Linked DNA regions of Struthio camelus. The protein of the gene in region 4 interacts with the protein of the main gene of each other region in a pairwise test. Links are inferred from orthologs where the notes say so. Each region holds a gene or a part of one and is shown on either strand. Other genes may lie near its edges. The genes, in order: MAPK1IP1L, POGZ, TAX1BP1 and DAZAP2.

Region 1 (7,525 bases), on a different chromosome or scaffold from region 4:
TAGGGGGAGGAACGTTCTGTGTTTCCTTTCTCCCTTCTTTTCCTAAGTAGCTGGTACTGCCCAGAGTTAGATGGGACGCTAGGCTGGCTGGACCTTTGATCTGTCCCGCTATGACTAGTCTAGGTTTTTCCTCCAGGGGAGTATGTGTGTTTTGTGTCTATATCCATTAGAGAATCAGGGCTGTGGGAAATGTTGACTCTACTCTTAGTGCTAGGCCAAAGCTTTTAAGAATCGGCTACTCCTTACCTCTCCTTCCTCTTTCCCAAAAAGAGCTTGACTTACAGTTGCAAGATTGGAATAAAATAAAATAGAGGGGACTTTTATTTTCCTTTTTTTTTTCCCCAAGCCTTTGAAAAAATGAATTTTCAAGATTGTCTCCACAGCAGTGAGCACTTGAAAATATGGTCCCTTAGAGAATTAAAGGCCATAATTTCATATTATCTGACTGTAGGAGCTGTGGCTGTAAGCCAAACAGCAAATGTCACAAAACTCATTGAGAGACTGTGAGGAGTGCAACATTAGCCCAGGAACCACAGTTTGTGATTGTCTGGACGGGCAGAGGAAGGGGGAAGGGAAGACTAGGAGGAGGATCGATAAAGGTTCGGATCCCTAAGGAAGGCAGGGGAACTGCGGGTCCTTCTTTGGGACTTGGGAGAAGGTGGGCACTTCTCTGGGAGAACACACAAGAAGCAAGCATGCCTAAAGTCCCCCGGCTACCAGCGCTGTATGGTGTTTTGTGCAGGAGGCCAAAGTGACAGAAGCTAGAAGCAACTTGAAGGGCTGAAGTGGCGTTCGCATGAGTTGCCAAAGTTCTTTTCTGGTCAAGCTTTAATTTTTAGTACTTTTCAAAAATTCCTTTTAGGGAATGGAAGATAACAGGAACAGGTCCCAATAGGTGGGTTTCATTGGTGTCGCATAGAGAGGAATTTTCTAATTCTTATTCACTGAAGAACAACAAAAAGTGAAAAGTAGCTACTGTTACTGCTGTCAGATATAATCAGTAGCTCAAAAATTTGAAAACAAACTCATGCAGTAGCTTGACACATAATCAAACCTCTACATATCCACCACTATAGAAAGAAAATATACCAAAAAAAATCACTCCTTGTCACAGAAAACCCTGTGCATTAGTACCTAAGTGACTATCAAAGTGTCTTTAATGACAGTTCACCTGTTCATAATTGCACAACAAGCAGAGAGCAATGATTCCTTTCCAGCTAAATCTAGTTTATCTCATCTTCTCAATAGGGTACATTTGCCATGCCAGTGCACTTTGAACCAGTTTTATGATTTTATCTTCATGGTCACAAGCCTCTGCCTTGAGAAAGAGCACTTATTAACTAGAGACTGTGTCATTTTCAAAGTGATTTATTTTATGAGGGTTTTGAAATAAATTATCAGTTGGTGATTGGCCACAGGGGAAAAGCATATAAAAGCTTAGCACATGCATTGAACGTACCATCTGGTATCCTTTAAAGTCTAGCTTCAGGGTGGCTCAGCTAATTCTTCAGAGTGCATAATGTTCACAGTGCACAGTGAAGCATGAATATAAAAGTGGAGTGCCATAACCCAGTAAGAAACAACGTTGTAACTGTAGCTTAATATCTTACATCTTACTGTTGTAGCCCACCATCAAAGGCTGGCGTTTTCTTAACTAAAACTGATTTTGCATTCCATAACTTTAATCTTATTACAAAAATCAGAACTACGCCCCCCCCCCTCTTTTTTTTCCCGGTTAGTTCTAAAAGGGATGCCTCCGCTGTGTTTTAGATTTCCTCATTCTGACTCGCTGATGTAAAAGCAGGCGATACAAAAAGCATACTGTTATTGTTCCTCTGGATATCTTGTTTGTGGTATGCACAGCCTTTTGGGTGTGATAAAGTTTCCTGACTCTGATGTTTGTCACATCTCGAGATCTCTATTATTATCCCTGAAAAGCACTAAATTCTGACTTGTTGGGGACCAGAAGCTGAAATACAATGATATATAATTGAAAATCCGGTAGGAAAGGTACAAACACTGTCATTGTCTCTGCTCCCACATTCCCAGCGAGACTAAGGTATATCCTTCAACAGTGTACTCACAAATGGTCATGATATTGCTTAAAATGCATAATTCAAAGCTTACTTTAAGTATTGTCTATTGGTCTTTTCCTCCCAAATTCAGAAAGGCTAAGGTAGACAATTGTACCCAGTTTTGCCATTAAAAGACGAGAGACGTCAACAAACTGGAGGGAGCTCAGAGGAGGGCCACTGACGTGCTTAGGGGATTAGAGCACATGACATATGAAAAGAGGCTGAGAAATTTGTTTTTTTTAGCTAGGAGAAGAGAAGGGGAGGATGGCTCTAATTGCTGTCTCCAGCTACCTAGGGGGTTATAGAGCAGACAGATGCTTCTCAGTTGCAGCAGGAAAGTCTGACTAAGTACAAGAAATAAATGCTTCACAATGATAGCACTGAAGTACCGGGCTGACCGTCCAGGGATGTTGTGCAATCTCCATCTTTGGAGATATTCAAATGCTTCACAATGATAGCACTGAAGTACCGGGCTGACCGTCCAGGGATGTTGTGCAATCTCCATCTTTGGAGATATTCAAAAGGCAACTGAACAGAGTTCAAAGCTAACCCTATTCTGAAGGGGAGACTGGTCCTTTCCAACCTATATATATATATTTGACTCTAAAGAAAAACAAAAGTTGCATATGCTTGCAATGTCCTGCAGCGTGGACCTGTGATAAACAAGTGGCATGTGTATTATCACATGTCTTTCTGAATAATTTCAGTAATATCATCACAGGTCCTATAATGGAGGCATGGAAAATAACGCCTCTTACTAACTGGGAGCCAAGTTGCTTCTGCGCGGTTGCCATTGTCTTGCTTGAGAGCTGCAGGCCAGCAATAAATTTGCTATTTCAACCCTTTTTTTCCCGTTACATATTGAGAATGAACAAGGAAGTGTCTTCCAGCAGCATGTGGCCAGGGCTAGGTGCTAGGACCCCCAAGTGCTGTTGCTTGCACCGACTGGATCAGCCGTACACAGACCAAGTGAAGTTGCATTTGCAGCTCTTTTTACAACCTTCAGCGTATACATGCATGCAGATGAAGAAACACATTTGCCCGAGCAAGCCGAAAACTGTGTACACAAACAAATATTTATAAGAAAATGCACAACCCTTTGTTTCGGCAGAAAGGGGGACACGTTTACGACGTGTCAGATGGTCTTAACAGCAAGGACGGCTGGCGAGGTTATTGATTAAAAGCGCCGTCACCGTCCCAGCTTGATACGTAAGGTGAGGCATCATAACCCGCCTTAGCCACATGTGTGCTCGTTAATTAAGCTTTCTAACGACCAGACTGTGCAGGAAGAAGCGGGCATGCTCAGGGGACGCCCGCTGCCACCGCGGCGCGACGGCAGCCGAGGGCCCCGCGGCAGCCGCCTGGGATGGGCGGAAGATGCATTTCGCTGTTATTCGCTCACTTTTCCGAGCGAGGCCAAGGCAGAGGTGGTGTTTCCACAAGGACCGAGCGTCAGTGATCGCCGGACACTTGAAAAGGCGATTGCGAAAGAGCTGTGAAGTCAGCCTGAGTTTTCCACGGGATTTAATAATATTCCGAGTGAGAGGATTAACTGGCTTTTCACACCATCACGGGACCGGGTGTGTAGTAAATTGTTTAGGTAGTATGAATTGCGCAAATAAATTGCTTCAGTAAAAATATTTGCACTTTCCTGCCTGTCGCGGCGACTGCGACCCTTGGGGCCTGCTCCTGCTGGTGGTTTTTCCCTCTCCTTTCGGAAGCAGGCAGGATAACGGCGCTGAAAAGCGCGTCACAGTTTGGGAAGGGCAGGGCAGGAAAACGACGGTATGTATTTAGCCGTCATGGCCGTGACGGTCTGAAGGGAGAAGGTAGGTAGGTAGGGAGAGGTAGGGTCTTTTATCAGAAAACCTGGAAAACCTGCCAAGTTTTCAGGTGCGCAAACCGTCTTTCAGGTCCCAAAGGCCAACGCTAAAACTGGCTCTTTTGGGTAGCTCGGCCACGCAGCCGCGACCGCCATGCGGGGGGCTTCCGCGCTCGCCGAGGGGAAAAGCAGAGCGCGGGGAGGCAGGAGTTAAAAGTCCCTCCTCTCACTGGAAACACCCCCGGCGGGAGGCAGAAGTCACTTTGGTGAGGTTTTCCCGATTCTCGGTTTCCTGAGGAAGGGTTTGGGCTGGGGGGGGGAGGGGGGAAAGGGGCCCGTGGCGGCACCGCGCGCGAGCCGCGGCCGTTGGGGCGGCGGCGCCTCCCCTCAGCGCTAACGGCCGCCGGCCGCTCCCGCTAGGGGCCGCCGTGGGGCGGCGGGAAGAGGCGCCACGTGACCGCGGCGCCCCGCTGAGGCGGGGGGGGAGGGGAGGAGGAGAGAGGAGGGCGCGTCGTCACGTGACCCGCGGCGGTGTGGGCGGGGAGAGGGCGGGGCCGTCCCCCTGGGGAGGCGGGGCTAAGGAATACGTGACCTTCCGGTAGGTGGAAGTGGAGGGTGCTGATTGGGTAGTGGGGTGCGTGACGTAGTTCCGCTTCCGCCTGGGCGTCGGAGGGTGGCGGTGCAGCTGCCGGGCCGGTTGCTCCGGGCCTGCGTCGCCGCCGCGCTCCTCCCTCCATCCCTCCGTCCCTCACAGGTAGCGGCGGCGGCCCCTCCCGCCCGGGCCCGGCCCCTGAGCGAGCGAAGGGGGAGGCGGGGGGGCTCCCGGCCTCGCCGCATCCCCGGGGAGGGCGGGCGGTGCCGCCCCGCCGCGGCCCTCGGGCCCTGCCCTGCCCGGCGGCGCGGGCAGGGGGCCCGGGCGGGAAACGGACTCGGCTCGGCTCCCCCGCGGGGTTTCGTGGCGCAGCTGGCTCCTGCCGGCCGCCGGGGCTTTGCGCTTGTGCGGGGTCGGCTTGGCGGCGGCGGCGCGCTGGGGTGAACGGATGCGCCTGAAACGGTTTCTGTGTAATGGTGGTATTTAGTGTGTCGTCACCGGGTGAAACATATCGCTAGTTCCTGTGTGCGAAATGCCTGTAAATGACTGTCTAAATGAGCGTGCGTGATGTCAATGACTGTTTAGCTCCAAAATTCTTCCTTGCTGGAGAAAATCTTTGGCGAGTCTATTTTCCATCGCTTGTGGGCATGTTTATTCGTTTCATGAAATGCAGCATGTTTAAATTTTGTAAGGTAGCTGGCTTATTGGACAAGCTAGTGCAATGCTGTATCGAAGAACATATTGCCTGGGGAGAGAGCTGCTTAAATGGCAGATTTCATCTGTGGGGGAGAGCTCAGTGTTTCTACTGGATCTCCATGGAAAACGGCGTTGATCTGATGCTATTCAACTTCATTGTCAGTGGATGTGAGAGCAAAGGCTGTTGCAGCTTTTTAAAACAACCACAGAAAAAGCTCAAAGGCTGCAATCCCAAGACCTGTGAATGATGCCAAGATGTGTGGTAAATATTAGGCCAATCCTGGAAAGCATTAAGTTCATTCAAGGAAAGTGCATCTTAACAGTGCCAAATCAAGATGAAAAAGGTACAGCCTCGCTCCTTAGATGTGGCTGGTATCCTGGAAAACCAGTTATCCTGGAAAAGAAGCTCTATAAAGTAGTGGAAAAGTTCATATTTTCTACTGGTTACTGTTGAGACTAGAACTGGGATCTGGCAAGCAATTTTGGTGCTGTTATGCATTTGAAAGGCACAATTGGAGAGGATGTGGAATAGTTACCCTCAGGGTCTGTCTGCTTAGTTTGTCCAGAAAAAAAAAAAGCTTTTAATTGCTCAGTATGTAGCTTCTGTCAGAGGAGAACATAGGTATTCTTTAAATAGCTCTTACAGCTAGTTCAGGAAGACTTTTGAAGATTTGGTAGTTGGAAGCTAAAGCTAGAAATTAGAAATAAAGCATATTTTTTAAAGTGAGGATAGCATGAAAATGGACTCTGTGACATCCAAAGGAAGTGTAGATGCAATCATATGGAAGATGCGTCTTTATTATTGTGGGCTGCTATTGTGAGCTATGTGTCTTCTGCAAGACTCACGGTGTGGGAGTAGTGTGGACAAGAGAAATGTTATTGGTTTTATACCACAGCTGGCAGACAAGCAAGCCACCTCAGAAGTCATGCATGTTTTGCAGTTTTGGGTCACCACATCACAAATGGATGGACCATCTGAAGTGATTAGGTCCAGTGTTGGTGGGGAGGTAGCTGTGAAACTGAGTGGCCTGTCGTACGTGGAAAACTGAAACAGATTGTAGTTCTTTCTGGCTTTAAATTTTGCAGTTCTTAACCATTTAAAACCTCTGTTTTAAAGAGTTATTTTTCTTGTAGTTGATGATCTCCAGTGATTGCACAGACATGCATCACGCTTTGTTGTCATTCTTAATTAAATCTGTCTTGAAAATAATCTAAAAACTAAATCCTACTCTTGCCCTTTCGATCAAAGTAGACCTGTGAAAGGGCAAGAAGATCATCAAATCTAAAATAGCTACCAGTGATCTGATGACTGCTTTTTCTTTCTCATCTGTGTATCAGTGTTATTCATCTGGAGAATAAATACCTCTGCAGGTCAGACTGAATGATCACATAGTGCACAGCTGGATAAACCTGGCTTCCAAGAAGGCATTAAAGATAGGGAAAGGACAAGTAAAACATGTTGGTGCTTAATGACTGAAGGCAGAAGCTGCAGAAATTTGCATATTTTGGAAAACACTTAGAAGCTGTCAAAGATTTGGTCTCTTTTCCATTTTATCGGTATAGCTATGTTGGTAGTTATATTTATGTGGGCAGAAATCTTGTTGTAGATGAGGTTATGCTGGTAGGGAATTAGTCATGTTACAGTGACAAAAGAACCTTTTTGCTGATAGAGGCATGCCACCCAGTGGAAATGCAGCTTATATCAGCAGAGTTGTTGCATGTAGAAAGCATTTTTCTGTATTTGAGAGAGAATCTTGTAGACAGGAACTAAATCTGGCACATCGAGCGTTCAAAAAATATCATGCAATTCAAAAAAAAATTGTGAAAGCAGTTGATACTTTGTTTGGGGTATTTTTAGCCGCTCCCCCCCCTCCCCCCCCAAAAAAAAAAAAAGTTTTAGACAGTTCATTTTTATTGTGGTCATTAGGGATTGATGATGGATAAAAGCCAAAGAGGGCAAAGCATGGAGGAAACGTTACTACATCTCTCTGTTTCCTTTGGGTAGGATATGATCAGAGAAGGGCTTATAGCTTAAAAGCATTGAACTGTTTTATTTTGGAAATGGAAGGATTTAGCCTGTTGCATGTAGCACCATGCTTCTATGTATTTCAGTTGGTCTTGAACACTGTTGGTAGAATAGGAGATTATCAGTGCTGTGTAGTAGGGCTTCTCAACCTTTCTGCAGTGTAGATCCCAACAGATTTACTTGTCTTAGCTACCTGTTATTAATTAATTCTCAGGAGTAGTTCCCAGTATCCAGGAGTCCATGGACTCTTGTCCAAAGGTTGTGCTATATATGGTTTCTGAGTAGGTGCAGTAGAAGTCTGTGCGTTAGCCCTC
Region 2 (7,857 bases), on a different chromosome or scaffold from region 4:
ATTGAACAGTTATATCCTTCAGGCGACGGTAAATTTATTTTTGTTGACTGATGTGGTTGACTTGACTTTGCTGGCTACTGAAATTATTTTAAAAGGCTTATTAAACTTTCTATGAATACTATCATCTTAAGTCTTATATGTCTTATTAAAGGCTTTGAAGTGTGCAATGCCTACTAATTAAAATGTATTATTATTACACACCCAATTATCATGATTATTATCTACCTTCATGTTTGAATTGCAGAACAATAAAAATGTACTGCTTTCCGATATTTGCCTCTGCAGACTGGCTTAACACTTTGGCACCTTTTGTGACCCTAGGACTACCCATAAGCTGCAAGCCTGTGCTTCTAGAGTCCAAGAGCATGCCTATAGCTATGTTTGTGCAACTGGCTCTTTTGTGAGTAGACACTATACAGCACTCTACTAATTTCAATCTGGACACAGGCTCTACTTGCATGAAGACAGTTGTACCTTCTGTGACAGTATCTAAGCAGCTGTGGGGATCACGCATACTAACAATGTAACCATATATAACCATAAACACAAGACCAACCACAAGTAACACTTGCAGAACCCTACCCGCAGCTAGAGCTTAAAGTAGCAAGGCAGAGGAAGTTCTTTGGGTGGGAAGATCCACTGGACAATTTTACCTATGTTAATAATCCACTGGACAATTTTACGTATGTTAATAATTCTACAATAGAAAAAAAGATGCGCATACAGTAAGCTAGACCTTACATTCAAAGATAAAATTTAACATCTGACAACCTCAAACTACTATACTGTATACACTGAGATCTAGGAAAGAGAGGATGCAATTTGTATATCCTTGCAAAGTATTTCCTAAAAGAAGCAACAGATTCCCCTTCCTCTACCCCCCACTTCCAATCACTCACTTGTGCCCCATTTGGCATGTCTTGGTGACAGCTGCAACTGCTGCCAAGTTAATAAAAATAAAGCTGTGTGTGTTGTCATGTGTTGCATGTTTTCTGCAAGGGTTTTGGGCAGCAGAATTCATGCCTCTCCCACATCTCCACACGTTTTATGTCACAGCATAGACAAGGGGAAGAAGAAAGGATGGCCTAATAGCAGCAGTCTAGGTTTCCCACATACTAGGGAGAGCAGTAGCATGGTAAGGACCAGGTAAAAGGAAGCAAATGCATTGAGCAGTAGCATGGTAAGGACCAGGTAAAAGGAAGCAAATGCATTGATGATACCAAACATCTAATTTTTAATACCTGTAGCCTGAGGAATCAGCTATGGGGTGTTTCCATACAGTCTTTCAGTGGACCAAATCTTTTGAGAAATGCAGGAGCCCACTAAACTGACTCCCCGACCCGGCACACCAAACTGTGTTACTATAGCCTAGCAAGAGGCCAGGCAAGCAGGTAGATCAAGGCATGCTGCTGACCAGGGAAAAAGTGCTGGCCAAGGGCAGCAAGGAATCCAAGATTTCAAGTACAGCAAGCAAGTACAGTACAAGGACCTGCAGCCTAACGCCAAACAAAAACAAAAAACAAACCTCCCCCTCTTTACATACTTAGAAGCTGATGTGCTTGGGAAGAGCCTTTTCCACTGGACACTGGGGACAAGGTGAAGAAGTAACTAACAGTCTAAAGAAGGCATGCTTGTGGGAAGGGGGGGAGGGGTCCAACACTGATGTGGTGGCACCTGTCTTGTCCTGAGGACAGGAAAGATGACACTGAAGGCACAGGTGAGCAACAAGTCAAGCAGTTCCTGTTCCTGAGCGGTCAGCTCCTGCGGAGAGGGTTATTAGGCAGGCAAACCCAGATCCCCTCAGCCAGGAAGGTAATGGAGCGGTGGAGAACAGGCAGGCCAAAAAGGGGTTCTCTCACCCTCCAGAGTAGACAGAGACTATCCTCACTGCTAACTTCCCTTAAGAAAGGCAGAAAGGACATTTATCCACAGGAAGAAAGCAAAACCCGTCCTCAGTTTATTGTGGCTGCTAAGAAAGAGAGAGAAAAATAATCCCTGTGCCCAACATGGCCGCCCACCCAGCACCAGCCGCGGGAAAGGTGGGGGGGGAGGTAAGATAGGGAGGATGCAGCCGTCCCCTCCCCCGGCGGGGGGGGGAGTGGGGGCCCTGTGTGAGCCGGGAAAAGGCACCGCTCGGCGCCGAGGTGTTTTGTTTGCGCGGTGGGGGGGGGGGGGGGAGCGCGAAGGGGAGGGGGGGAAGCGGAGGGAGCCACCAAGGCCGCTTCACCGCCTCCCCCCCTCCAGGAGGGTGCGGGGAGGGGTGCGCGGATCACTCCGCCTCCCCCAGCCCGGGCGGGCGAGCGGCGGCATTCCGCCGCCCAGCGGGAGCCGCGGCGGCTCCTCCCCCTCCTCCGCCTCGGCAGCCCCGAGCCCTCCCTCCCGCCGCCGCGGCGCTCGCGCTCCCTCCTCCCCGCCGCCAGCGTCTCGCGGCCGCTTTGTGTACGGCGCGCTGGCCCCGCCGCCGCCGCCCCCCCAGCAGCTCCCCCCTCCCCCAGACCCGGGCGGTTCGAACCGGTTCCAACGGTCACCGACCGCCACCCGCGCGGCCCCCTGCCCTCCTCCCGCCGCCCTCCCGCCCCCACATAACGGACTGGCGCCAACTCACCTTCCTCGCTCGCTCCCTCTTTCTGCCGCCGCCGCCTCCTCCGCCGAGGCTGCTCGCACACGCTCTTAAAGTGACACACACACGCCCCCCCGCACGGCGCCGCTTTCAGGGCGAAGCGAGAGGCAGGGGAGGGCAGGTGGCATGAGCTCCCCAACCCCCCCTCCCCGCGGGAACCTCTATTGTGATGATGCTGAGGAGGATTATTAATTTCTCTCTTCTATATATATTTTTTTTTTCGCGAAGGGGGCGACTCCCCGCTTTTCTCCCCCCCCCGCTCTGTCAGAAGGAAAAAAAAAGAGCCCTGCGGGCTGATACACACAAGAAGGCACCCACAGACACACACACACACACACATACACACACATACACACACACACAAAAAAAGGGGACCTGGCCGGCGGAGGGATACGGTGACGTCATTTCCTCCTGGGCCCCGGGGCGGCGGGCGGATTGGCGCGCGGCGGGATGACGTCACCGGGAGGCCGGCGCACCCTAGCCTGCCCCTGGCCAAGTTTGCGTGAGGCGCAAAGGCGGCGGGGCGGGCTCGGCTCCCCCTCCCCTCCCTCCCCTCCCTCCCCTCCCTCCCCGCCCCGCCCCGCCCCGCCCCGCCGGCGGCCGCCGCTGCCCCTGCGCCCCCGCGCCCCCGCCCCCGGGGAGCCGCCGCCGCCGCCGCCGCCGCCGCCGCGCGGGGCGCCTCGGGGCCCGGGCTTCCCCCGCGCCGAGGCCTTGCCCCGAGGCCCGCGTGGCGCGCCCTGCCCCGCCGGCGACGCCTGGCCTCCGTGCTGCCGGGCGGGCGCCCGCGGCGGGGCTGCCTGCGGCGGCCCCCAGGCCTGGCCGGCGCCCCCGGCGCCCGACCGCCTCCCGGGGCCGCCGCCGGAGCCTGGGGAGCTCAGCTGCGTGTAGGCAGGCTCCGGGGCAGGTGCCCTCGCGGGCCCTCAGGCCCTCGCGCCTTCCTTGGCTGCGCTCAGCCCCGCTGCGGTTGCTGGCCTTCAGCTAGCCCGATGGTGACGGCTCGCCGTAGGCGCAGCGACAACCAGGTGGTTCATGTTATGATTAGGACTGAAAGTTACAATGCAGAGTTTTATTTTGGTGGTTTTGGTGTGGCCAAGAGTCAAGCCAGCCTAGTAGCTGTCTTGGGAAAGATGGGAAGAGCTGCTGATGTGGTTACAGGGCTGAAACCCATCGGCCGCAAAGGGTAACTGGTTCAGTGGCTGGTGGCGTTGCTGGGATTCAGCTCCGTAGCATGGCTAGTAATGCCTCTCAGGTGGCTGGGTCTCAAAACAACCACCTCCAGAAGATAACTCTCAGTGGTTAGAGATGTCCAGGGCCCACAAAATTTGAGGCCTTTTTGATAGAAAGTAGAGATAAATAGTTGCATAGCCCTTCAAAAAAACTCAGTCACATCAAAAGTTGGCAGTGATTTCATCCCTCAGTGACAGCCTCAAGGAGGAGACAAAGGATTAAATTGTCATAAACTTCTACAGCTTCTGTAGAGATTGCAAGGAAGTCAGAACTGAGGCGCGTAGATATAGCAGTACAGACCAACCTTAGGAGCTGTCCACAGAGATAAAAAGGCTTTGCTTAAGTGGATACTTAAACCCGTACCTAACTTTAAGTATATAAACAATCCAAATATAATCAAAGCAACTATGTAAATGCTTAAAATTATGCATTTGCTTAAGTACCTTGCTGGATCAGTGCCATGTAAGTGTCCTGGGCTGTCAAGCCAACAGATAAAATCAGTGACTGTGTTTCTCCCTAACATAAATTTAAATGGTTTATATCCTTAGTAATAAACATATTATTGTGAATAATTTAGTAATGCTAGGACATACAGCTTTTAACTGCGTTCAGTACAGGCAGAATATTGAAGAGAATATGGTGAGGATAATTGAAGAGAATTGAGAATAATGTGTGGTTAGTATTAATAGTTAACGTATTTAACAAAAATACGTGTATAGATTTTAGAATTCTTTTAACCTGTTTTCAACATCCTTGAAATGTTAGCTTATTCATTCTTGAAAAAACTATTTAGGAATTTGGTAGGTAGTATATTTCCCAAATGGACCCCCTTGCTGTGATATCCATGTGTTGCTAGAATGTGATTTATTATTCTGCAGTTCATTAAGCAAGCACATTAATTTTCTTCTGTTGCTCTTCATGAGTTACCAGTCATTCTTCCTAGTTTGTACAGTACACCAGGCAACTTCACGTCATACTGAAGGGGGGAAGCATTTTCATTTAACTGTGTGTCATCTCTAAATCATATATATATATATATATATATATATATATGTATGTATATGTATATATATATGCAACATGAAGGGCCACATTCTCTTCTGTGGTTATGCCACTGATAATAATAACAAATACTATTATCAGTAGTTATACATTTGTATTCCTGACTGCACTTTGGAGCCTCTGCCTTGGATGAAGTATTATTTAATTATTTCATATAGTACTAGCAACTTTCACTGGCTTTTTCCAAAAATGTCATCTGGAGACAGAAGCTATGCATAAAAAGTAATTTTTCATTGAATAAAAAGGAAAACAGCCACTAATACTGGCATTGCTAGTGATGGAAAAAGTTAGTTTGTAATCGGAATTCCGATGTCAATAGCAACTAGGATTTACTGATGAAGTTTTACAGTACTGACTGATGAATAATGTTTGTGTTCACCAATGAAAATATCACTTACTGATCCCAAATTTGATTTCTTCCATGTAAATGCAATATTTCTTATACCTAAAGTGAAAAAAAGAATTGACCATGGTGATTTTGTCTTTATCCAGTGTGTGTACTGCAGATACCAAATTCAAATGAAATTAATGACAGAATGTAGCTGTTTTAAATCATGTCAGAACTGATGAGTTTTTTTGTTTTTCATTCACAAGTGGAACAGAAGGAAAGTTCTCTATTTGGGGGAGTACAATAAAATGAGATTTTTTCATTTGCTGTTGAAATGCATAAATTCACTAGGACAGTTAGACAGGAGTCTGATATTCTTGCTCCAAAAAGAAAGTTCCTTTTTATTTAGGAAAAAATTATTAGTTACATATATTTTACAGTATATAGGTGAACATTTGCATTTCATCCAATAAATAGCAACTGTACCTGCACCCTGGACATTTTACTAGATTTGCTGCACTACAGGTGCTTACATTGATGATCTGCAGCTAAAAAGAAAAAAATCTTGAAGTGCAAAGAAAGTAAATATCTGTGGGAAAAAAAAAACTATTTTCCTTACTACTCATTCACAAGAAAAACCGACTGTGTTTAGGTCAGCATCCATGAACCAATCTAAGTATGATGGTAAAGCAGGTCCAGATATGCATCCCAACATAATCCTTACACGTTTTCCTAATGTAATTTAAATTTTAGTAAAAAGTTTGATTGACACAGGAAAACTCAGTTGATAAATTACATATCTCAAAGAGAGTAAATTAGAATATTTTGTTTTGCTTCTGCAGGTTGCCAGTGTTTTGGACGTTTGCTGTGTAAGGCTTTTGCCAGGGGTCTAAGATTATAACCACCTGCAGCCTCCTTGGTGTCAAAGCAAAAAGTCAAAAGGTTTCACAATATGGTATTAGAATAGCTGAGAAACTCTTTGCAAGGATGTACTTTAGCTCTGAAAGTGGAACGAGATGTAGACATTTTCCAATTCTTAACTATATTCAGAAAAATTTAGTGCGGGGCTGGCCAGAAGAACAAATAAAGATATCAAGGGAGCATAAATTTCCACTCGAATATGTTTGAAAGAAACAAATGTTGAGAATGCAACTTACAATATGAAAACAAAATTTTATATATAATATATATTTAATATATAGTGTGTGTGTATGTACATGTTTTATATATATATGAGACTTCTTTTTTTCTTGTGGCAGATAGGTTGAGCCACATATGTGAAGGCAGACAGATGCTTATGCAGTGAGTCATGCTGGTGGCCCAAAACACTCGAGCTTACTACTTAATTGTCAAATTGTCAAATTTTCTCTGATTTTTTCAATTCATTTGTCTGCACTTCAAGTGTAGGACGTTTCATTGTTTCCTTTTGGTTACAGAACTGTCTTTCCATTTCACTTATACCACTGTATTCAAACTTAAATTTAAGGTTTAATTATTATTCCTTAGATCTGAAAGTTTAAAGCATCCACATGTTTTAACTTACATATAAAGTTTTGAACTTTTCTTTTTTCTCAAAAAAAAATTGAAATAAATGTCTCTAGATCTTCCTAAAATGCTTTTACCAATCTCCCCTGGAAACATCCATGAAGCAGAAATCAAGTGTGGTGTTTTATTTCAAAAGACTGGATGTGGGGAATCCTCCATTAAATATTTTTCCTTAATATTTTGCACAAATGGGTCACTGTGATGCCTGAGGATACCTATTAATTAGTTCCATGTTCAATTTAATTCTTAAATACATTGTTTCTCATGCATATTGGCAAGGTGTAACACAGAGTACAACATTTTCAGCTAAAGTTATTTAGTTTATAGCTATAAATTCTCCCTTCTCTCCAGAATTTCTTAATGATAACTAAATTTGTAGAGCATTTTTTTTCTTGGTCACTGTTGTTTCTGTACAACCTAGCGGATACAGTGAGATAGGAATGAGTAACTAGGGTTTCACTTAAGCCATTTTAAACTACATAGCTCCTAAATGTGCACGTTTCAGTTACCATTTCTGTATCTTTGAAAAGGTTATTAAAATCATTTTTAAAAATTTAAATTTCTATGTCTAGGGTGAAAATCTGCCAGGCTGTTTTAACATCTTGTAGAGAAGCAAAGAGCACAATTTATTTTGTTCCTTTTTTGAGGATCCTTTAAAGTTTGTTTGTTGGTTTGTTCGTTTTTAGTTAAATAAGCTATTACAATATGAGGTCCTAGGGGAATTGATTAACAGTTAGAGCTTTGCATTTGGAGTTACATTTATAAAGATATTTCCTCTTGAAAACAAATGAGCCCATGAACAAAGGATATTTTTAGAGTTCTTACTGAAGTTTTGGATCCCATTTGCCAAGAAGATATATCACAATTACAAGCTATTATTTGAATGCATATTTGTGCAATAAGGGTAAATACTGAGGTTTCAGATCAAACCTTAGGAGTTCTTTTTAAAAGGCACCAAACATTTAATCTAACAAATATGGGCACTAAAGATCATTGGGGTCCAGTTCTTCAGCTCATACAGGTCTCTCTTCCTTATTTCTGAGAGAGCCTAACTGAGCAACAAAAGTATTAATAA
Region 3 (7,624 bases), on a different chromosome or scaffold from region 4:
TTGAAATGTACAAGACAGAAGTTTAAGAACTAATTCTGCTGTTCCAAAACCAGACAGCAATAGGTCAAGGTCTCCCAAGCACACTGCCTCAGCATCACTCCAAAACAATCACTTCTCATAATGAAAGAGTAGCCATCTCTTCATATTGGTGTCATCACAGAAAAGACATCCCTGGGCTGAATGCCCCCAACACTATACCTCAGAAACAGCAGCAGAAAGTAGGGAGCAAAAGCAGTGATAGGAAAAAAATCAAGAAGGGTTCTGACTTGCATGAAATAAACTTAATGTTTCTGAATCTTGCTGGGAAGGAGAAACAAAGTTCCATAATTTTCCTTACTTTAAAACTCTTCCCAGAATTTGTGCTACTTAATGCTTTTGACAGCATTTTTACGTATAAATATTTTTTTCTCTCAGCAAAACTAACAATTTTTCATTTTAAGACATTTTTAACAAACAAGAAAGTTTATTTAAAAAAAAAAAAACTGTTTAGACAAAGAGTTTACTCTCTTCAGGAAAATAGAAGTCTGTGGGCATCTTGTACTGTGCTTTAACACATACGCCCCTAGCCCTGCATTTTTAATTTTACTGCCATAAACAGTGAACTTGATGATAGTGGGAACATTCAGGTGCATATGCAAGTTGGATGGATTAACACTGAATTCAACCAGATCGTAGAAGCATTTATCACATTCACCACCTCATTCAGGTTACACTACCCTAAAAAACTACAGTAATGCAAGAGATGCTTCATAAACAGACCAAGAACTTCCCTTCCTTAGATTCGGCCACCTCTGTCAAAAAGATAAGATGGACAACTGGTTAAGTTTCAACTGTCTGATTTCAGTCTACAATCATAAGTTTGTCAAAACATCTGGTATTAGGAGGATTAGGGCCTTATATATTTAACACTACATTTCTGGCCAAAAGAGCTGCTTTGTTCTTGCAACCGCTATTAAAAATAAATTCATGCTGATCAAGCAAATATGTACCCTGAATGAGATTACTGCCAAGTGTGTGAGATAATATTTTTTGAAGATATATGACGAAATCAATCCCAAAGAGGGATGGGCCACTTCAAGTCTCAATTAAGAACTGTCTGTATATTTCCTAGAGCCTTTTAAAATTTCTTTGCAACAGTGAAGAAATAAGAAAAGCTCACATTTTCTGAAATAAAATGCACTCTGGAATAAAAAAATACTCATCTGTCTGAACAAGTAGAAAAAAATCTCTGTTTACCTCTTAAGTTAAGCCCTCAGTGTTTTAAGCCTCTTACCATCCCATTTAGTGTAACACACGTAGTACATATGGACAGCCATAGCATTATTTTGGTATATTGGATGTTAAATAAAAAGCAGTTTTGTACCCTGAACAACACAAGTAAAAAAATGTAAAATGCCTTACTAGTAAAAATTAACAGACATAAAGACTAGACAAAGATAAAAACTTACACAAACAAGAATCCGAATAAATATGAAAAGACAAAACTTTTTTAGAGACAATAAAGAAGTACATCTTTTGGGAATACACGTAAATCCAGTCTGTTATAGAGCCCCAGGGTACAGAGAAGCGTAGCAAGTTCTACAGCTTAGCACAACTCTGAAAATTCCCACTCCCCCCCAATCAGAAAGTTATATCCAAGACACCTCTCAAAAACATTCCAAACCATAAACTTTAGAAAAAACTGTTTTTTACAACCCTCCCCCCAAAAAACAGAATAGTCACTATTTTTTTCAAGTGTAATAAACCCATTCATTTTTAATAATTTAGTAGTCTCTGAAGCTAAATAATAATGACATGAAACAGACTGTATCCGTTTTTTGTTACCTAGGATAAGTTAAAAAATAAGCAAAGCATTAATAACAAAAGCAATGGAATTCAACATTTTTTGAAATAGGTCTATTTCAAATACCGGGAAGTTTATTACAAGAAAACATTACAAAAAACCCAAAGCATTCATTTCTGCATACTGGTCAGCCAGCTACCACAGCTGAGCATTATCTTTATTGAAACCATTAATAAAGGGAATCTGTTTTCCAAGTCCAAAGCAGAACTACGAATTTGAACTTGTGCTGACCAGCAGAATCACCTGGGATTACTGTCCACCAGCAGCAAAATCCTCGGAGCTTAGGTGAAGCCGATATCCACTAACAGTTCAAGAATAGCTTAGGGGATGTTCGGTGCTTGCTTAGTTAGCTCACAGCTACCGGTGTGAGAAAAGCCGGGGGGGGAGGAGGAGGAGGAGGAGGAAGAGCTACGTTTAGGCTTTATTACTGACGTGACAAGCCATTCTCACCGAGAGGCCGAAAGAGGCGTTCCGCTTTTAACACGCCGAAAAGCACCGAAGGAGGACAAGCTTGTCTGGCAGGAAACACGAAAACAAGACGAGCCGCACGGCCCGGCCAGCGGCGCACCTGACTCCGCCGGCCCCTACCTGCCGGGCCCTCCCTCCCACTCCGCGGGCCTACCTGCCTGCCCCGCCGGCCGCCCGCGCGGCCTCGCCTGTCCGGCCCGAATCACCTTCGCCCTCGGCCTCCGCAAAGCCTCCGGCACCGCCTGCGCAGCTGCCGCGGCGGGGGCCAACGGCCGCCCCTGCCCCGCCGCGCCCCTCGCGCCGCCCTCCCCAACGGCCGCGGCTCCTCTCTCCCCCACACTACTACCAGCCGTCCAAGGCAGCTGGGCGGGGGGGGAGGAAGAGAGGCACCCAGATGGCGCAGAACAGAAGCCCTGGGTTTAACAGCGCGCCCGCCCCCGCGGCAGGAGGAAGAGGAGGAAAGCAGGAGAGAAAGAAGGCGCCGGACCCGTTCGTCGTCGTCCCCCCCTCCTCCCCCCGGCCGCAGAGGGCCCCTTACCTAGGCAGGCGCGGAGGACGCCGGGGACATCAACATGGGGCCTCCGCCATCGACGCCTCACGACCCCGCCCTCCCGCTCGCGTCACTTCCAACCCCGCCCCTCCCCCTCCGCGGGGCGGGCCGTTAGCGGGAACCGGCTGGAGCCGGCGTGGGGCGGCGGGCGTCGGAAGGGCTGCTCGGAGGTCCGGCCCGGGCCGGCCCGCCCGGGGACGGAGGGCGGCGGCGGTTAGCGTCGTCATGAGGCTTCTCGCACGTCGGCCCGGCGCTGCAACACCCAGGTCTGTTTCTCCAAGGATTCTTCCCCCCGCCACGTCCTGGACACCACATCTCAGGGCACTCCCGCCCTTTACCATTCCCGTTCAGCCCCTAGGTATCCAGCCTGCCAGCGTCAGCCCAGCTGGCACTGGAGCCGTGGCTTACACCACACGTAAAAAGCATGTTGCACAGCTTGCTTCGTTATGCAAGACGGTGCGCGTACTTCAGGGAAGGAGAGGGGTGAGAAAGCCTAGCCAAGCTGGTATTCCTAGCATATGCAAAACTGTGCAGCTGTTACTTCCATAAAATGCACCTGCCCCCTGCAAAAGTTCTCTGCATATTAGTTCTTAGACCATTGCTTAGACCATTCTATAATACTCACATACCCTAATTTTATCACCTCTTTTTCCATCCAAAACACGCGTGCTTGCACCTCATAAGTCACTACTATTAATCTCCCAGCTTTTGCAGGTCTTCCCAAACCAACCAAGGAGTGAGATAAGAGTGATATTAAATACTTACAGTATATGCAGTTCTTCTGCTTGCGTAAATTGGCGTATCTCCATTAAAGTACATTATCTAATAAATACACTGAGTCTACTTGATTTTTATCCAAAGTCGAGCGTTAGATCGTGTATCAGAAGAACGAGGCTGAGTGACAACAAATACTTATCTGTAATCATCAGTATTCTGGACTTCCTGCAGTACCCTGAACGTGGATCATTACTGAAAGTTGTCTTTAAAACCTTTGCCTCCTTACGATCCGCTCTTTCTTCTGTATTTTCATGTATGTTCTCAACAGCTTATTTTGAGAGGCATATTATGACAAAATTATTGGCTTACCATAGGCCTTATTTTTTGGCAAGTTTTTCATGGTCATAGATTTTCATAGCTTTCTCATGGTCAGTCCTAACGGAAACAAAAATAAACTGGACCACTAAAATTGTCATTTCAAGTAATCAAAATGAATCTTTTTTTTGCTTCTGTTTAGCACTTCTTGTCACTGGAAGCAATATTAAAATATTATTCTTAGGACTTCACTTCTACCACAGGTTATTATGTAAGTAACCCTTTGATTTTTATATATAATTCATAATTCTTACAGTAAACGTATATTCCACTATCCATGGAAACCAGTAAATGCCTTGCATTTTACTTGCAGATCCTTTTATAAGACACGAGAGGTGTATAGGAGGTAGTCTTCTCCTTTAAGGCCAGATGGATGTTTGTAATGGAAAATGAAGCTGATGCGTTAATCAGAAAAGCAATAAATAGGTGGGGAGACCTATTTTTTCTTATCTCTGTCCTCCATTTTTTCTCCTCACTGCTCTTTGCCCTGTATCACATGTGATACAGGGCTGTTAAAGAGTCTCAAGGCACTGTTCTGTGGTCTGGAATGCGGAAAGAAAGGAGGTTTTACAGTCACTAGCTGGGTAGTGTAAACGTTGATGACACTAGCAAGCAGTTTTGCTTTCACTTAACGTCATTATGATGCTAGTTTATGGGAATATAATGGGTAGTTTGAAATAAAGATGTTCTTTGGCAACTAGCGTAATTTTTACAGTGAATGCCTGGAAAACCCCTCCATTTCCTAATAAAAAAACTTTATCCTCAGTTCTGAGTTTCTAAAGAATCCTCATGTATTTCTGTACTCAGTTCGTAAATGTTCATTCAGCCAAAAGAGATATTGTTTAGTAATAATTCAGTATTAAGTTATTTCCATTGCTAAATGCATGTATAAGGAGGCAAAACAAACTATATATGCCTGTTGTCACATGTACAATGTAAACTAATTAAGGAAAAATAGATCAGGAATAATCCTGGCTTTGCTTGTACTTACAGCCACAGCTTTCAGAAAAATATGTAATTTCTTTAACTCTGTATCTTGATTGTGTAAGTCTAAAACTGGTCCTTCTGTTATTCAAATTAAGCAGATTTTTTACTGAAATAATTAAATGAGTTAATTAGCATTCTTATTTACATATTTGTATCCTAAGTTTAGATACCAGCCTCACCCTCTAGAATTCATAAATATCCTATATAGAGAGTGTTCAGAGCCTTTTCTTATTTTGTTCGTCCTGCTTTGAGATATGAAGGACTTCACCCACATTGACAAGCTGTGCACTGTGACTCCGAGATCAACAGTCAGTGTGTCTGTACTGGTACAAACAAAGGTTTGGACTGAGAAAATTGTGCTTGGCACTGGTGAAACTTGTACTTGGTCTTAGAATTAATGGTTAAATGCCTTAATCAGTCTGAATTTTCTAGGCAAGGAAGATTAGATACTATCTCCTGAAATTCATCCATGTGACATAAATATTTTGGAAAGCTTGCTCTTGAGTAGCAAAACATTGTTATTGTCTTTGCCTACATTTGCTGCAAAATACTTAGTATTGTAAGTTTGATATCAACATTTCTGGTGAGTCATGTGGGTGGCTAATACTAATACACTAATTCAATTAGAAAAGCTTGTTACAGGCATGATGGTGTTAATCCTATCTCAGATTCTGGCTTGACTTTCACCTTTTCAGCCCCACTGATTTAAATGAGAACACAGGAGGAGGGGGTTGTCGATCAAGCCGGTATTTTTCACCAAATCATATGTTTATCATGTATATCAGAATTGTACTCTAAGCATGTAGAATCAGTGTTTGGCCAATATTTTGATTTTTTGAAAGGCAAAATCAGTGAATGTCAAGTATCTTTTGATACAATTAGCCGCATGTATGTCATAGAATCAGAACCATGAAGTTTGGAAGTGACCTCCAAAGCAGAACTTTATTAGAGCTGGTTGCTTGGGGCCTTGGCCAGACAAGTTTTTAGCATCTCCAAGGGTGAAGATTTGACAGCTGCTTAGAGAACCTGTTCCAGTGTTTGACAACTCTAATTGTAAAAAAAAAAAAAAAAAAATTGTATATTTTTGTAATATATAATATTATAACATATGTGTAATATATTTGTAATATATAATATGATGTATAATATGTAATATATAATATAATATGTAACTGTAAATTTCCTGCATTCCAATTTTATCTGTTACCGTTTGTTCTTTCTCTGTGCACCTCTGAAAAGTGTTTGGCTCCATCTTTTATACATCCTTCACTTACCTGTAGGTGGCAAAAAGATCTCCCTATAGCCTTCTCCTCTTAAGGCTGAAAAAAACCCCAGTTTTCTCTCTTTTTATTTACATAAATATACAATTACTAAAGAATATCTGTCTTATATTGTTGATGAAAAATATCTCACCAGAGTATTTATTTGGAAATACAAAGCTGGTAGAACTCTTCTCTTAAGTGTCTACATTTCTTAAGCGTGTAAATATGAGGACAGAAAAACAATGGCAAGTTGATAATTGTGGTTTTGACAGAAACACTAAATAAGGTAAAAATGTATGTGAATCCAGTTATTGAATTTGAACATTACTAGATTCTGAAGAGGTTTGAAATTCAGGCTGGTACTTACAGAGTGTAAAAATCCCTCTGCTTTGTAATTACATTCAGTCTTCCTTTGTCCGCATGAAATCTGCACAAGTCCCTTCTCAGGCGTGAGATAAGTGACGAATAAAAACTACACTAAACAGAATGGCCAAAGGAAGTGTAAGGCATGTTACAGCCTCTTGGGGAACAGACTTTTTTGAATATTTGGAAATCGTTTACTTTTTGCGTAATTTCAGTATCTTTTTAAAAATATGAGCTCCTTTAGTAATTTATAGCCTTCAAATTAGAAATGGGGCCCCATCACGTCTGTTTAACCTTGGGTGTATTTGAACATGTGCTCAGATTCAGATCCTAATATTATTTCTGTTTACTAACTATATTATGGCCTGAACCAAAGCCATGAGGAGTTTTGGTTCCAGACCTCAGTTCTTCCCCTGAGGCCCATCTCTGCTTTGTATGAGTGACAGACAAATTACATATTTATGATTTTTAGTACCTGAGAAAGGTGCTTTATGTTGTAGATATTCAGTGTATTGGCATGACATGATGATATTGATGAAGTGTGGTAAGGAAATGCTCAAGTTCTAATGATTTGATTTCATTTTGGTTCAACTCCTATTTCAACACTCCCAACTTTTAAAAGTATGGGCCATGTGAGATGTAAAATATATGTATCACTATGTCACTAATCGGAAGCTCTTTCTGGTCACGTTGTAAAGCACACTTAATCAACTTCTTTAAGATCACGTTACAGAAAACTATTAACTATACTCTTGAAACAGTTAAACAGTTATAAATAATGTTTTATATTATGGCTGACAACCCTGAATTGCTCAGCATTTACGGAAATCTAATCACGGGGCATACAGACTTTGCCTTTCAGAAAGATGGAGTGGCAAACCTTTGGAACATACTAGAAATTGCACGCTATTGGTAACATTTACTATTAGGGCGAAAGCCTCTCTCTGTATATTTTGGATTTCTTTTCCAGCACTTAATTGCAACTGATGAAGAAAAGCTATTCAAAAGCTGCCAGGATTTTTAAATCTGTATGAGTGAGATTGATGAAATTTGTGGCTT
Region 4 (7,954 bases):
ACAAGTTAACTTAGATGTATTTTAAATCTACAGGTTGGCTAAATTTGTCATCTTAACTCAAGGGGAAGCTGAACAGTGTTTGTCGCTTCAAGTGGATGATTCGGGTCTCATGCGAGAGACTGTGGGGACCGACTGCTGCCCAGCGATACGAACAGCAAACAAATCTTCCAGGCTAAGAAAATCCCTGCAGCTAAAAACCTCCTGGAAGAGTTTTCTCTTTTGGAGGGGCCCCAGAATAAAATAAACCTTAGGAGAAGGATCCTGCGTACCTCAGAATAAGCAGGAGGTGCGTCCGTGTATGGCGGCGGCTGAGGAAGGGCCATAGTCTGTGGGTACACGGGAGGATTGCCCGGAGACTGGACCGGGTAGGACGGCTGGGTGGGATATTGTCCTGCAAGGAAGAAAAGAATTCAGCCAGAGTCAGAAAACGCTCCGCGAAGCTGGGCAGGAAACTGCTGAGTTTGCGGAAAGCCCCTCTTTTCAATTCTCACGTGAGCAGAGTAACGGATCTAGGAGCGTCTGCACACAATGAATTAGAGGCGTTTCAGTCGGGGCCTAATAGCCAAACGGAGAGTGAAAATCCTTTCCAGGAATCAGGCTCCCGAAAAGGGCAGGAAGCCTGGCGAAGGGAGTCAACCCAACGGCGTCGTCCCCGGTCGCCGCTCGCGCTCGGACTCGCGAACTCTCCAGTCGACTCGCAGCCTCAGATTTGGGGCGATGCGGGAACGACACCGCCCCGAGATCGGGTTTCTCTTTGAAGCTCCTAGCGCGTCGCCACCAGCGAGGCTTCCAGGGAGCATCTCTTGGCGATCTTAACGTTTTATAACGCAAGACCCGTCCCTCCGTCTGCCTCCCATCCCGAGAAACAAGTGCTGCGTTTGGCTCGTACTGAAGAGAAAGGGTGCAACGCGCTTTGTACTGCCAGCAAAACAAACCAGATCTGACGCGGAGACGATACCTGCCACCCCTGGGCCTTTTAAGCTGGAGCAGAACAAAGATCATGTCTCCGTGACATGTCTTTCACCTGCCAACCTAAGCGGTTTCAGAACAGAGTTAATCTTTAAGTGAAGACTGTTAGGGAATTGCATTTAATTGCTCTGTCGCATCCGGAGGTTGCCAACACGGTTCAAAGAGCAACTGGTGCTACGGTCCGAGCTCCGAAGGCGTTCTTCTCCCCAAGCCGGCACAGCGGTTGGGAGCGAAAAAAACAAACAAACAAACAAAAAAGCAAAAAAAAAAAAAACCCCTGTGCGTGCGTTTGGGTGCAGGGAGGGAGGAAGGGGCGAGCGGGGAGCTTTGCCGTGGCACGGTCAGGCCAGGGCCGAAGCGCGGCCCTGCGGACATCTCGGCTCCCTCGCAGGAGCGGAGACTTGGAAGGCGCCTCGGGAGCGTGAGTCAGGTTGGGCCGGAGCGCTTAGCAGCGCCCTTTCGCCGCCGCGTCCTGCGGGAGCCGGCCGGGGGGGGGGTCCCGCGGGTGCCCCCCCACCCCGGGGGGGGTCCCGCTCCCTATGCTGTCCCCCGAGGGTGAGGGGTCACCCCTTTGCATGGTAGGTGGGGGGGGGGTCTCCCCTACCCCAGTGGGTTCCCCCCCAGGGGGAGCCCCCCATCACCAGAATGATCCCCCCTGTCACCGGGGGGTCCCCTATATCATTTGGGGGGGGGGTCCCATTCCTGCATCCCCTAAACCCAATGGGGGCCTCTTACCTCATCCGGGGGTCCCTTATGTCATCCAGGGGATCCTGCTACACCAGCTCCCCCTACATCATTGCAGGGTCCCCTAGGTCACCCAGGGGGTCCCCCTGCTCCAGCCCCCTGCCCCCAACGGGGTCATCATCAGGAGGACTTTATGTCACCCAGGGGGTCCCCCTGCCCCCAATGGGGCCCCTTACATCATCATAGGTTCCCCTATGTCACTCAGGGGGTCCCCCTGCTCCAGGCCCCCCCTCCCCAATGGGGTCACCTTACATCATTAAGAGGTCCCTATGTCATCCAGGGGGTCCCCCTGCCCCCAATAGGGTCACCTTACATCATTGGGGGTCCCCTATGTCACCCAGGGGGGTCCCCTTATATCATTGAGGGTCCCCCTATGCCACCTAGGGGGTCCCCCTGCCCCCAGTGGGGTCCCCTTAAATCATCAGAGGCCCCTATGTCATCCAGGGGGTCCCCCTGCCCCCAATAGGGTCACCTTACATCATCGGGGGTCCCCTCTGTCACCCAGGGGGTCCCCCTGCCCCCAGTGGGTCCTCTTACATCATCGGGGGTCCCCTCTGTCACCTCGGGGGTCCCTCTGCTCCAGTTCCACATCAACATATAATGGGGTCTCTCTGACGTCATCCGGGGGGGGTCCCCCACTCCAGCTCCCCCCGACGCCTAATGGGGTCCCCCTGACGTCATCCGGGGGGGATCGCCGCTACGTCATCGGGGGGGGTCCCCCTACCGCAGCTCCCCCCTCCCACGTGACCGGGGCGGGGGGAGGGGGGACTCCGCTCCCTACGCACACGTCACCCGCGGGGGGCGGGGTCCCGCCTCGCCCCGCCCCGCCCGAGGCGCGCGGCAGCCACAGGGTTAAGGGCCGGGCCGAGGCGCGCGGCGCCATGGCGACCCGCGCGCGCGCCCACCCCTCGCTCCCATTGGCCGAGCGGCGCCCGCGCAGCCCCGGCCCGGCCGCGGCGTCACGCGCTGCGGCGCGGCCCTTAAAGGCGCCGCGCCCCGGAGCGGGCCGGGGCGGGGGGGGCGGGGGGAGGGCGAGGACCTGCCGGGAGTCGAGTCGATGCCCGGGGGGGGGGGGGGGAAGGTGGGCGCGTCGCGGCGGGGCCCCCGCGTCCGGGCGGGGGGCGGGGCCTCGCGCTGCCGGGGCCTTGCCTTTGCTGTTCATGGCGGCGGCGGCGGCGGCGGCGGGGGGAGGCCGGGGCGGCGCTGGCGGTGGCGGCGGCGGTGGCGGCGGCGGCTCCCGCTCTGCCCGCTCTGCCGCGCGCTTCCTCCTTGTTGTCACTGCGGCGCTGAGGGAGGGGGCAGGGCCCGCGCGGGGGGAGGGAGGGAAGGGGGCGGGGCCGGGGGGGAGGCGGGGGCGGGCGCTAGCGCCGCGCTGCGCCTCTGCGTCATCACGCACGAGGGGCGGGGCCTGTGCTCTTAAAGGGGCCGTCGGCTTCGGGGCGAGGGGGCGGTGCTCGGCGGAGCACCGCCCCCTGGGCGGGGGGTGGCGCCCCTAAAAGCAGTCGGCCTGAGTGGGGCCTGGAGAGAGGGAGAAGGCCCCAGGCAGGGTCTAAGAGCAGGGGCCTGGGGCCTGAGTGGCCTATAAGGGGCTAAGAGCAGTTGGGGGGGGGGGGGCAGGTAGGGCCTAGAGTAGTAGGGGGGCCCCAAATAGGGGTTGGGGGGGGAGAGAGGCCTCTAACTAGGTCCTAAAAGCATGGGGGGGGGGCAGCCAGGCCCCATAGGTGAGGGGAGAGCCTACACAGGGCCTAGCAGGGAGGGAGAGGTTCCCTAGGCAGGGCCCAGAGTAGTTTTGGGGTCCTCAGTTCAGGCCCCAGGGCAAAGGGGGGGGCCCTAAACAGGGCCTAGTATGGAGCCAGGTGGGGCCTAAAGTAGTTTTGGTGCCCCCTGAAGAGGACCTGGGGGATAGGGGACCCTGAATCAAGAGCTAGTAGGGAGGGGTATCCCCAGGCAGGCCCAAGGGTTGGGAGGGGGAGCACCCTAAGAAGGGCCTCATGTACAGGGAGGGGTCTCCAAGCAGGGCCTAGAGTAGTTGTGAGGTCCCCAAGCAGGCCCTGAGGGAAGGGGGACTCCAAAGCAGGGCCTAGCAAGGAGGGAGGGATCCCCAGGTAGGGCCTAGAGTAATGGTGGGGGTCTCAGGCAGGGTCTGGGGGTGGGAGGGGGGGGTCCCTAAGCAGGGTGTGGGGGTGAGGGAGGTCCCTTTGCAGGGCCTAGGGGCACTGAGGGGTCCCTGGCAGGACCCAGCCTGGCCCAGCTGCCTGCGCTGTCCAGCAAGAGCCTTCGCAGGGCTGGGGTGGCACCGAGGAAACGGAGGGGGAAGAGCCCCTGGCGCTCTCCCTGCTTCCTCTGGGATTAGACGCAACTCAAGAAGCCACCTTCGAGTTCATGCATAAAAGATCAATGGAAATGGTTGGTAACCTCCAAATATTGTTAAGCTTAATTAAGCCTTTAAGGACTGTGTGAAGCATCAGTGGGCAGAGCTGCTCGTTAGCACAGTGAGGGCTTTGTTGGTTACTGCAACCTGAGCTCCAGGTTATGTTAGTTCTTCTAAACCGTATGCTTGGGGCTGTTGTTAAAGACCCCAAGTCCTTCCTCAGACCCCATTTTCTGCTTCCCTGTGGCAGTGAGCCCACAGCTGCCCCAGAGACCTTCCTTTCGGACGGCAGCATCCTGCAATGGGACCCATCGGCGTTGGTGTGCCCTCCCCCAGCGCGTGGGGAGGGCACAGAGCGCCTCTTGCCTGCGTTAAAGAACAGGCTCCTTCCTGGAGAGACTGTAATGTGCCCTTCTCGCCATGAACGTAGCCAAAACGTTGCTAAGAAGTTGAAGGTAAAGATGCAGGAGGAAGAGTGCGTTTCTTGGGCTTCGGCCCTGCTGCTCCCCTTCATCCAGCAATAGCACAGCAGTACATTTATGGAAATAACAGGTCTTTGGTTCAAGCACCCTCTTGCCTTGAAATTAGGCCCACTTTTGCAGAAGTGGGCAGTTCCCACCCCCTTGGTGCGTTTGCCCTGAGCACCTGTCAGCTGAATCAGCGCTTGTGATCTAACCTTAAGAGACTTCCCCAATTGTAGCCTGTCCTTTAAGGACTTTGGTATGAGCTTAGGGTCTAAATACTGTTATAAAAATCTGTTGCAGATTGCTCGATAGGGTTTGGATCATGCTGTCATCGTGGGACTTCAGACATAACAGGAGCAAAAGTAAAGCTCTTCAGCGAGGTATGGATCAGCTGCTATGTACAGACCTGTTGTCACGATCCCCTGCCCAAGATCCACCAGCAGAAGGTGCAGTCACAAGTCTGGAGCTGTGTATGGAGAAGGTATGATGCAATTCCCTAGTAGTTTCTATGTGTAAAGTCTTCCTTCTTGGAAATGAGTTTAAAAAAATCCATATGGATTGCAATAAAAGGAGCCCAAAAAAAAAAAGAAAACCAACCCCCCTTTCTTTCCTGATTTTTTGCTAAACTTTCTATCTGCATTTTGGTCAGAGTTTGAGGGCAGAACCTTCTTTATCAAGCTCATTTTCAGGCATCTCAATCAACAATATCATTGTTCTCTTCCTGTTTAAGTGAACATCTCATGAATAATGTACCGGCTGCCTGATGAATATGCACAATGGCTGGTGTGCCTGGGAGGGCTTCATAAATGATTCATGCCCAGAAAATGTTCTTCACCTTGCAACTGTACGGGAACTGTAAAAAAATATTTACCCTTTAAAGTGGGAGAGATGGCCTGAAACCTGCCCAGGGAAATGCTGAGTGAGGTGGGCTGGAGTTAAGCACAGCAAAAGCAAGGGAGAGCACCTCCAAGCAGTGAAAGAAGCTGCATCCAGGAAGGTGATTTCCGAGCTCTGATTTCCCCCTCTACAACCCAGTCCTGGAAAGCCCCAGAGCTTGCTGAAATCACTCAGAAACGAGGCTGTTCAGCAGCTCCCGAGTTCAGGCCTTATTTATTCTAACAAATACATGACTACTTCTGCTCTGCTGACATCCCTATACAGAGAGCTTCCTTGCACAGGAGAAGTGAAAATGCTTTGGGAGGTGCAAAGGGCAAGCATACACTTTCCATTCAGAAGGGCCAGGCTCTTCAGAAGGCACCTACCTTCAAATGCCTTGGGATTGTTTTTATGTGTATTTTTATCACTGATTACCTTGTTTAAGGGCCTCTTGGGCCTCCAAGAGGAAAACTCCAGTTACCATCAAAAGCTCTGGAGGAAGAAAAAAAAAAACCAGCTCATGGTGTCTTGAGCTGTGCGGTCCCAAAATGGAAACCTGTGAAAGTTGAGGCAGCTTCTGGATGCTTGGCCGTGTGCCAGCGGGCTTTGCTTCCCACGCCGGGCAGTTCTGAAAGGCAAAGGGACTGTCTGCAAAGAGCCGGGTGTCGCCTTGGCACTATGCAGGCATCATGCAAAACAGATGAAGGCATAAATGGTCCCAGTCTGCCTTTTGGGTGAGCAAAGGCCCACTCTGGAAGTCCTTATTTACCCGGCGGGAGGTTATTTAACCCCGATGGAGAGCAGAACTGGCTTGGGTAATACCTATGATTTGCCACTTTAAGAACATGTGAAAAGTCAGCTGAGGATGCTGCTGGCCTCACAAGCAGGTACCTGTTTGTGAACTTTGCTCAGGTGAGCAATCAGAGGTAACAGGTTGTTTAAGGCAGTGAGCACCCTGCAGGTGTAGGCCTGTAACTAATTACCTAAAAATAATGACTAAACAATTGAGAATTACTTCATGATATCTTCCACCTAGGCAACATTGTGCCCTTCCTTTCACCACCAATGAAGTTCAGGGGGTTCTGTCCCCCTTGGCTTTACGTTGGGTGAAATTTGGTCCCAGTAACAAAGTGACATAAGGAAGGCCTGAAAATCCCATGGGAATTTTAGAGCCTATTTACATCTTCCGGGGAGAAGAAGAAGTCCAAGGCCAGATCTAGCATGGTGCTGGAGAAGCTGCATTAAGTCCCCTCTGTGACTGCTAAAAGCATGTGCTTGAGCTCAGATTCAGCACAGTTTGTGAGCAACTGGAGTCACTTTGCTGCATGGAAGCCAAAATAAAGTCTGGCTTGCTTTTTCCTGCACTTTCAGTCACTCTTGGAACATCTGGAATAAGCTGGTTCATGGAATATTTGTTCCTTGTAGGACTGGAAACCATTCTGTAGCAAATTAGATGTGCCAGAAACCACATGGTCAGGTGCAAACCCTTCCCTGACCCATTACTGAATCTGATTAGAGCAGCCAAGTCAGCAAAAGAAGTGTGGACAAGAAAGCTGCAATATTAATTTGGTCACCTACCAAGAGCTCTCATCGACAGAGCAAGCTCTGGAACAAAGGACGCATTCTTACAGTCAGCGTTTTAGTTTTACCAGCTATTTCTGTCGAATGGTTAATTAAAATCCCCATCCTCCCCCCCCCCCGCAACAAGCTATTTTCCTGAAGAAAAAGCTTTTTCGGCACTCATAAAATCAATTCCTCTTGAAGAAAAATTAAAAATGCAATATGCACCCTTTCCCCATATGCATTATATTAAATAGTATGCCAATGTATGTAAATGAGTCTGAAATTCAACTAGATGGAAGTATTTAAATATTCATAATCACAGTACAGCATATGCAAACCAGGCTCTCAGCAGAATTGCGCTGCAGTCTCAAATAACAGCTGTACTCGGGCAAAGATGCTTTAACACAACTAATTCGATTATTAATGAAAATGTGGTCAGCGCTGGTTGTATGTTTGTTAACATTCGTGCAGTGGTGTTAACCTCTGCCAAATGTTAAGCACGTGCTTAATTCATATCGAAGTCGGTGGACTCTAAGTATAAACTTTAATGATTTGCCTACACATCACCTCACCGTTTGCTGAGCTCCTCTAATTTGTTGCTAATCTGCACTAAATATTATCATATTTTGTTGGTAATAAGAGGATAGTCTAGTCTACGTTATGTTAATTCGAGAAACCTTTCGATCCACACAAGAAAGGATGTGGGCTAGAATTTAGCCTCTGAAGAACGGGACGTGGTGTTTACGCTTTTTTAACATTAATGCATATTACCTAAGTTCTAATGTATATACTCACTCATGTATAATCAGAAGTGCATTTTTGAAGTGAGTTATGAATATCTTATGATGAACCCGGAAAGGTGAGCATGAGGCACGGATTTAAAATTAGTCCATTAGCTTTTTCTACAAAGAAAGACAGAAGGTGTAATTCTTTTCAGCTGATATGGATGTGAAAGAATGAAGTAAAA

The links.
Region 1: the proteins of DAZAP2 (region 4) and MAPK1IP1L interact in binary tests that used the Homo sapiens proteins (3 or more experiments, as listed by UniProt). The link is inferred for Struthio camelus from reciprocal best matches to the Homo sapiens genes DAZAP2 and MAPK1IP1L.
Region 2: the proteins of DAZAP2 (region 4) and POGZ interact in binary tests that used the Homo sapiens proteins (3 or more experiments, as listed by UniProt). The two-hybrid records come from large-scale screens. The link is inferred for Struthio camelus from reciprocal best matches to the Homo sapiens genes DAZAP2 and POGZ.
Region 3: the proteins of DAZAP2 (region 4) and TAX1BP1 interact in binary tests that used the Homo sapiens proteins (3 or more experiments, as listed by UniProt). The two-hybrid records come from large-scale screens. The link is inferred for Struthio camelus from reciprocal best matches to the Homo sapiens genes DAZAP2 and TAX1BP1.

The regions. Positions count from the first base shown.
Region 1 is NC_090946.1:79,478,919-79,486,443, reverse strand, and holds the start of MAPK1IP1L (MAPK-interacting and spindle-stabilizing protein-like), read left to right. Parts: upstream 1-4,518; 5' UTR 4,519-4,651; intron 4,652-7,525.
Region 2 is NC_090971.1:208,887-216,743, reverse strand, and holds the start of POGZ (pogo transposable element with ZNF domain), read right to left. Parts: upstream 3,013-7,857; 5' UTR 2,606-3,012; intron 1-2,605. UniProt on the Homo sapiens protein: Plays a role in mitotic cell cycle progression and is involved in kinetochore assembly and mitotic sister chromatid cohesion.
Region 3 is NC_090943.1:39,462,330-39,469,953, reverse strand, and holds the start of TAX1BP1 (tax1-binding protein 1), read right to left. Parts: upstream 3,015-7,624; 5' UTR 2,850-3,014; intron 2,828-2,849; exon of another isoform or gene 2,466-2,827; intron 2,415-2,465; exon of another isoform or gene 2,294-2,414; intron 1-2,293.
Region 4 is NC_090969.1:2,097,693-2,105,646, forward strand, and holds the start of DAZAP2 (DAZ-associated protein 2), read right to left. Parts: upstream 3,016-7,954; 5' UTR 2,876-3,015; coding exon 2,863-2,875; intron 392-2,862; coding exon 270-391; intron 261-269; exon of another isoform or gene 34-260; intron 1-33. UniProt on the Homo sapiens protein: In unstressed cells, promotes SIAH1-mediated polyubiquitination and degradation of the serine/threonine-protein kinase HIPK2, probably by acting as a loading factor that potentiates complex formation between HIPK2 and ubiquitin ligase SIAH1.